2 linked regions of the Yarrowia lipolytica genome follow. The protein of the gene in region 1 interacts with the protein of each later gene in a pairwise test. Links are inferred from orthologs where the notes say so. Each region holds a gene or a part of one and is shown in the gene's direction. Other genes may lie near its edges. The genes, in order: YALI1_F28453g and YALI1_C10730g.

What was found.
Region 2: the proteins of YALI1_F28453g (region 1) and YALI1_C10730g interact in binary tests that used the Saccharomyces cerevisiae proteins (3 or more experiments, as listed by UniProt). The link is inferred for Yarrowia lipolytica from reciprocal best matches to the Saccharomyces cerevisiae genes RPF1 and MAK16.

The regions. Positions count from the first base shown.
Region 1 is NC_090775.1:2,843,562-2,847,293, reverse strand, and holds YALI1_F28453g (uncharacterized protein), read left to right. Parts: upstream 1-1,910; coding exon 1,911-2,912; downstream 2,913-3,732. Other genes in the region: YALI1_F28467g (uncharacterized protein), read right to left, coding at 1-559; YALI1_F28459g (uncharacterized protein), read right to left, coding at 959-1,342; YALI1_F28393g (uncharacterized protein), read right to left, coding at 3,675-3,732. UniProt on the Saccharomyces cerevisiae protein: Essential protein. Required for biogenesis of the 60S ribosomal subunit.
Region 2 is NC_090772.1:1,071,033-1,075,364, forward strand, and holds YALI1_C10730g (66S preribosome component MAK16), read left to right. Parts: upstream 1-1,993; coding exon 1,994-2,011; intron 2,012-2,766; coding exon 2,767-3,687; downstream 3,688-4,332. Other genes in the region: YALI1_C10675g (uncharacterized protein), read left to right, coding at 1-424; YALI1_C10718g (uncharacterized protein), read right to left, coding at 674-808, 1,047-1,238; YALI1_C10762g (uncharacterized protein), read right to left, coding at 4,152-4,332.

The DNA.
Region 1 (3,732 bases):
GCACTCGAACTCGACCGGGATTAGCCCAGTCCTTGGGGTGAGTCTTGTGCGCCTCGTAGATTGAAGGCAGGGTGAGCATCTTGCAGGCTTCGGCGATGGTCTGGCCCAGAGGGTTCTCCACAGCCAGCTCCAGAGGCACTCGTCGGCCCTCGCCCACAGTCTTGTTCTTGTCAAAGTAGACCGGGTAGACTATTTGCCAGTCCTTAAAGTCGGACTCCTGGATCTCCTGGTTCTTGAACTCCTCCGAGTCAAACACCTGTGTACCGGGCTTGCCCTGCTGGCCCATGTTGGGGGGCATACCTCCGCCCTGGTTCATCTGGTCCATCATCTGCTGAAGTTGGGCCATGGGGTTGGCCTGTTGCTGTTGCTCCTGCTGTTGCTCCTGTTGTTTTTTGGCTTGTTCTCGTCGCTCGTGCTCAGCCTTGGAAATCAGGTTGATGGGACCTCGCCCGTCACTCTCCTGATGCGCGGTGGCGTCGGTGAGAACCGCCCGGGGATCGAACTCCGCGGGATCAAAGTCCATGTTGTCCACATCGTCGATTTCTTCCAAGATAGCCATGGTGTGTTGTGGGTGGTGATAACGACGTATCTGTACTAGTGCTTTAAAGTGACAGTATTTACAGCACAGTCTGGCCTCCGTCCCAAATGGTGAAATTTGAAACCTTGATTTCAGTATGAGGTATTCGTAGATCGATGGGGTTGTGAATGTCTAGTGACCAAAACAGGAGACTGAAAGTGAGAACCGGTAATGGGCTTATTCAAAACTTCTTTTTTTCCAGCTATTGTTTATAACGTATGAGAACCCCTCAAGACACAACACATTGTATGAGTTCACTCGATCAACTGATTCATTTGCCTGTTTTGGTTTACCCTAACCCCACGGAGGATGAGAGACTCCAAACCTCCTGTATGAGATCTTTCACATCCGTAGCAAGCTTCGTGTGTTCTGATGAACTTTCTAACATCTCGGATAGCTGTTTCTGTCTATTTTTATGTCTGGTTCTTGCACTATGGGCCTTAGCAGACACGCCAATCCAACGCCCATGCAATCCAATGCTGTGCAACCCAATGCTGTGCTCCTACGCCTGTCGGGGTACTTCTTGTAGCTACAGTATGTACCTATCCTTGACCGCGCCCACAGGCTTCGCGTCTGATGGATTGAAATGATTTTACGCGTCTCATTTTTCATGCATGTAATTTTTTCAATGAAACCAGTCGCACTAACATAGAGCACACAGTGAGCCGCTTTTCTTTGTGTCTGCTCTCCGTCTGTGTGCAAACCAACTACTTGAGCCCTTAGTTGATTTCGAAACTTGTCTGGTCTCAGCTGGATGGGACACATACTACTGTAAGTCCCTCCCAGCTGTCAATGTCCCCAAGTGAAAAGGAATCAACGAGGCTCCACGATTCCGAAACTCCTCCAGTGCTTTTAATATATATCAATATATCAATCCCTCCCTTTCTCCCATTGACATATAACTCGGCCCCAACAGTTATGAGACGGTGGAACCTCCATTCCCAGGAACTTCACCAATAGCTTCGTATCGTTCAGTTATTTGTCCATCTTGTCAAGCAGGATGAGCACAAGACATATCAAAGATTCACGCGGCAAGACAACCCCTTCGTTCAGAGTACTGGTATAGCCATTTGAGAGTGAGAAGGCAGACTACACTAAACAGTTATTTAAACTTGCTTAAACATGCTCCAACGCCAGTTCAATTCACGTCCCATTTTCACATCCTATTCTGAATGAACATGGCGGAGAGAGTAAGCATAAAATAGTCCTGGTATAGCTGCCACGTGGGGGTATGTGAATAATGGTAGCTTCTTTCAAAGGTTTTCTAGTCATTTCCGTATCTTAGTACCCACATTACTTCATTCACCCCCACAACCCCCATTCTACCCTCCGTATGCTCAATCTGCCTTCTCTGTCCACCTGCATAAAGTTCATGCAGGATTTTTTTATCTCCAATATTTTCAAGAAATTTGTTTTGCAGAGAATCGGACACCATAGCACACTACAAGACACGATGGGAACGGTAAAGCGAGATATTCGGATCGCCAACAAGGAGAAGCGAAAGAAGGTGTTCGCGGAAATGAAGCACAAGCTCAATAAGGAGCGACACGAGATGCGAAGGGAACGAGCCAAGGAGGAGGCCAAGAACCCCGAGCTCAAAGAGAAACGTCTGGCTGAGAACGTGCCTGACACCATCGAGGCCAAGCGAGTCTATGATGAGACCATCGCTCAGGAGATGGAGGGAGAGGATGAGTTCAAAGAGTACTTTGAGGAGGGAAAGCCCCCCAAGGTACTGATCACTACCTCTAAGCGAGCTCGAGGACAGGCCTACGACTTTGCAGACCTTTTGTACGACATTATCCCCGGCTCCGAGTTCAAAAAGCGAGTGGGAGACTTCACAATGACGCAGATTGCCAAGATGTGCGCCGAGAGAGACTACACTGATCTGGTGGTGATCAACGAGGACAAAAAGAAGGTGAACGGCCTGACCTTTATTCATCTGCCCGAGGGCCCCACCATGTACTTCTCCGTGTCATCTTTGAAGATGCCTAAGGAGATCAAGGGCCACGGCCGATCAACAACCCACATTCCCGAGCTGATTCTCAACAACTTTTCCACGCGACTGGGTAAGACTGTCGGACGGCTGTTCCAATCCATGTTTCCTCAGCAACCGGAGTTTGTGGGACGTCAGGTGGTGACTCTGCATAACCAGCGAGACTGGATCTTCTTCCGAAGACACAGATACGTGTTCAAGAATGAGGAGCGAGTGGGTCTGCAGGAATTGGGTCCTCAGTTCACCCTGAGACTCAGACGTCTTCAGAGAGGCATTCGAGGAGAGGTGGAATGGGAGCATCGATCGGCCATGGATAAGGATAAGAAGAAGTTCCATTTGTAAGGGAACTGCAAGCACAGCGAGGATCGAACGCTTTCACAGATCGACAAACACTTTTCGACAGTCATACAGACTTAACAAGGCTTCAATCTGATTCGGCAACAACTCGCTGGCTTCATTTGCAGGCGCACGCTTGCATTCTTGTGGTTTAATTGGACTGCAAGGATATAGAAATGTATATTTGGTTAATTATGGAGGATCAGAGAGATGTTGTGTTGTGTAGTAATGTGTCGAGTATGTACAGTATGTACATACGAGTATGTAGTGTACAGTGGAATGGTGTAGGGTTGTGAGGTCTGTGTTGGCGCTCATCAGTGACAAGAGTTGCCTGTGGATGCTACAGAATAGGGGTCATTGTATCTCATGAATAGTCAACAACGCTCCATTTTCACTACAAACTACAGTATGTACTATGACGCTGAGTAATCATCACCACTTGGTATAGCAAGTTGATGTGAACCGCTCTCATTAGCCATGAACAGGTATTATGTCGGGTTAAAGTATTGACTCACGAGAAATTTGACAGTAAATCTACCGGTTCTCATACTATGCCCCTAACCAAATACCAGTACGTGTAGGGAAGTGTCTGTCGGGTAGAACAGTTCTCTTTATGGGAGAGGGAACCTCACCAAATACAATATCTGTACAATATACCCCAATTTAAGTACAGTAATGTACTTGTACTATATCGCAGTTACCATAATATCATGCATTAGTCTATAAATAAATAAAACCTTTCAGTCTTGAGTTTTTGTTGTAGTCTTTCTAGAACAGCAGCAGAACAACCACACTCATGGAAATCGCAGTAGCGGCGGAACCAAAC
Region 2 (4,332 bases), on another chromosome or scaffold:
TTATGAGGTTCGAGAAAGCATTCTGAGAGACACCGCCCCGAGTGATCGGTCTGATGGTGATACTAGGTCGTCGTCGCTGGATCTGCCCAGAAAGGCGTCTCGGTCTTTATCTCTGAGCAGATCATCTGGTGATCTCCGTTCAGGTGAGAATAGTCCTCTCAAACCGTCCATGAGTGTTCGGAAGCTGCGAACCGGTCTTCGAAACGGCTCAGATTCCCCCGGACGGGAAGTTTCGCCTGTTCGAGCTGATAATCCGTCCATTGAGCGATCGTCGTCGCTGATCAGAGGCTCGGACTTTACTTTGCACGGTAAAAAGTTTTCTGTTGTCGAGGTCAATCCCCAATTTGCCGCCACTCCCCACCATAAGAGAACCACCAGCAGGAGTGAGCGCAAGGAGGAGAAGAAGGGGGAGAGTGAGCCCTAGGGCTGACAAAACAATAGCATTATTTATTGAATTAAAATGATTTATGAACTTGTAGTATCGTAGATGCCAGGACAAGATGTATACAGTTTAGCACAACATAGACGTACCTACTAGGGAGAAGCTGTGACTTGTAACTTGAATTGAAATGTTCACAGACTGCGGCTACACACTTATAATTACAGATCCAATCACTTGGGCTTCGCCCGAGTTCGTTCACCTAAGAATAAATTAATAATATACAACAGTGGATTACCTCTGTCCCTCCTTCTTTCTCTGGAAATGCAGGTCCGTCCGGCTGCCTCCGACGTTGATGATCTTCGGACAGCCATCTCTGTCCTTTTCCAGTCGTGTGCATTCAAAGCAGTAATAAGCGTCCGCCACCGCCTGTGTTAGTATGGTAAGCGAAAGTAATGAGAAAAAATCCTTAAGAACGCGATATAGTCACTTCACAGTTGATCTCGAGGGTCCAAGAATCATTCACGAGCTTTTGGTGTTCATTGACCACATCGGAGCTTAGAAACCCTCCTCAGACACGTGTGTCTCATCTCCTCGGCGTCTCCATCTCACCGCACTCAATTCACGCCTTCAGCAAGTCTTCCGTGGGTGCCTTGAATGTACTCACATATCCGTCGCAAATAATACACCGATCCTCCAACTTGCCAAAACTGCACTCATCACAGACCTTGACCAAGGTGGTAGGTCGCACAAACGAGTCGCAGACAGGGCACTTGCCGTCGCACTTTTCACACAGACGGCCCACACGAGTGCCGCTCTGCTTCATGCACAGCACCAGATCGGGATGGTGTCTAGACATTGTGTGATTGTTCGTGTCAGAGTGATACCAAAAGTCGATGCCAGAAGTTTCACTATCGAACTTTATCAGAGCTCCCTAAGAAGGTGGCAAAGAAGACAGTACGACACTAGACGATGTGGAGCCTTTGAAAAGGAGGAAGATTTAGCAGGCTTGTTTATATAGCTTCGAATAGCCCCCAGTATCACTTCATGGTTGAAAGCTCTTCCACCGTGCATTCTGTAGAGTTACTATACATCTTCAAGTATTAGTTACACTCTATAGATGAGACTACCAAGTCTTTTCAACTAATAAAGACTACTGACTTGGTGATACATTTACCACCATTAATTCCATGATATCCAAAAAACAACAACTGCAGTCACATATTTCTCAGTAATGTGTATATACAACCACACCCAGTTCCCCTCCATCTACTACCTCTCTCTCCACAAGTGTAGAACGTCCCCTTCCCTTACCTTCCACCAATCACCTAGTGTTTGCATAATCCATGCAGAGAACGGAGATCACGTGACCAAAATGTATTACGAAAACGGCACGTTGCTAAAAGGTGCCCTATTTTTGGCTGGAGAGTGTTTTATTCAAGAACTGTGTTTGCTTACTAACTACTCTGGCCAACCACAAACGAGACAATTTAGGTTACTTTCTCTAAACTGCTCATAACCTGAAATAGAGTTTGAGAAATCTGCAAGAGCCAAAAAAATTAGAAAGATTGAAAGTCTGATCACGAATTTTTCAAGCATAACTACACATTCACAATGTCGGCGAGTGACGATGTGAGTATCGATGGAAAGATGGAAGCGCCCAAGGGAGGTTCTTTTGGGCTGGAAAGAAGTGCAACAGAGTGGAAAAGTGGAAAAATCCGGATCTATATGGCTTTTGGCAGGTACTTTACCGATCACTCAAGGCGGTTGTTAGACAGAGGAGGTGGTGGACGGATTTGTGACGAGATAAAGAAGGGGTGAAGCATTGGAAGAGCGATTTCGATGCTATTTTGAATGTTGGAGAAGAGCTATGTGTTTTCCTTGATGTGGAAACTGTACTACAGGCTACGTATGTGGTTGGTACGGCTGTACTGCTACACAGACCTCAGGAATGTGTGTATGCTTCTGTTGGAACTGTCCGCGATACTATGCTATCTGCAGACGCTAGAACATTCAAGCGTGCTCCAAATCTGCTTCAAATCAAATCTCAAACGTCCTTGTCGACCTCGTCCATTCTCCTAGTCTCCATCATGAACGCTGTCCATGAGACGTTCGGCAACACTGTGCCATCACCTGAAAGAAGACTCTATGAACATTTTTTCGAGCTGTTTCGGATTTTACCGTCTACAGTCTCTAAAGGTTCGGTCTGAGTCGGTCTGAGTCGGTCTGAGTCGGTCTGCGACCTGCTATAACTGAACCTGAGCTCTACAATATGCTTTCCGAGTGCGACTAAATCACAAGCTGAACCGAGATATCAGTTGAAACACTATAGATTATTGTCCACCGGCAGTTAGGCTGCCCACGACTGCTCGTTCCTACTAACACAGCTCATCTGGGAAATTCTAAACGACCAATTCTGCTCGTTCAAGCTGAAAACCGGCAAAGGCCAGGATTTCTGCAAGAACGAGTACAACGTTACCGGCATCTGCGAGCGCAAGTCTTGCCCTCTCGCCAACTCCAAATACGCCACCGTTCGACGGGTCAACGGCCGATTATACCTTTACATGAAGACTGCTGAGCGAGTGCACACCCCCAATAAGTGGTGGGAGCGGATCCGACTGTCCAAAAACTACAAGCGGGCCCTGGAGCAGATTGACGAGCATCTCATTTACTGGAATGAGTTCCTGGTTGACAAGTGCAAGCAGCGTCTGACTCGTCTCACCCAAGTGGCTGTTGCTGAGCGACGTATTGCCATGAAGGAGGAGGATACCCATTATGTTGGTGTGGCTCCCAAGGTGAAGCGACGAGAGGCTACCCGAGAGCGAAAGGCTCTGGCTGCTGCCAAGGTGGAAAAGGCCATTGAGAAGGAGCTGCTGGACCGTCTCAAGAGCGGAGCATACGGCGAGAACCCTCTCAACGTGGACGAAAAGGTGTGGAAGAAGGTGCTCGAGGGCGTCGAGGGAGCCAACAAGGAAGATGAGGACGAAGAGGAAGAGGAAGAGGAGGACGAAGAGGAAGAGGGTGGAGAGGTTGAATATGTCGAGGATGAGGAAGACGATGACGATCTTGTGGAGCTGGAGGACCTTGAAAAGTGGCTGGGTGGAAGCAGTGACGAGTCTGGAGACGAGACCGATGCCTCTGAGGACGAGACTGATACCGACTCCGAGGACGAGAAGCCTAAGAAGCGAAAGGCTGCTGCTGACGGTAAGAAGCCCAAGCCCAAGACCAAGAAGCGAAAGGGTCCCAGCGTGGAGGTCGAATACGAGGAGGACAATGGCGAGAAGGAAAAGCAAATGGTGGACTGGTAGATACACTGAGAAGGAGCATAGACGGAGGAAAAATGTAATGTATAGAAATACTGACTTGTTTGAGAGCGTTTGTAGTGGAAAGATGTCAGCTACTTCACTATCTTAAGGAGAGATAAACAGAACGTCTTTGCAGTCAGACATCAGAAGTATGGGTGATCTTTATTGCAGTACTTGTAATCATTGAATTTCTGTATGAAGTCTTGCTTGCTTGACCTATCTCTTCATGACAATGTGAATTGAAGCAATGATTGGGCTCCGATGTTAGGGAGAAACGTGCCTTCACTATTCCAAGTACAAAATTACTAAATAATGGTTGATACGAATAATCATAGGCTGCTATGGACTACGTTTAGAGGGAGATAAACGCCTTAAATAGAGGTCGAGCGACAGTAAATAGAGGTTGAGAGACAAGTCGTAGTACAAGTATCTAAGCAACAACGAGATATGTTTCTAGCTATATATATTTACTTGAGCTGGTGCTCCTTGTGCTCCTTGTCATCTCCGTAAGCTTTTGTGCCGTAGTGACCATTGATGCAGATAATGTCCTGGGGTCGATAATCCTGCTTTCCAGAAAAGAAAACCTCAAGGATCTTCTTGGTGCCCTCGGCATATCGGCCCTGGGCGTCGATGGAAGTTCCGGAGATA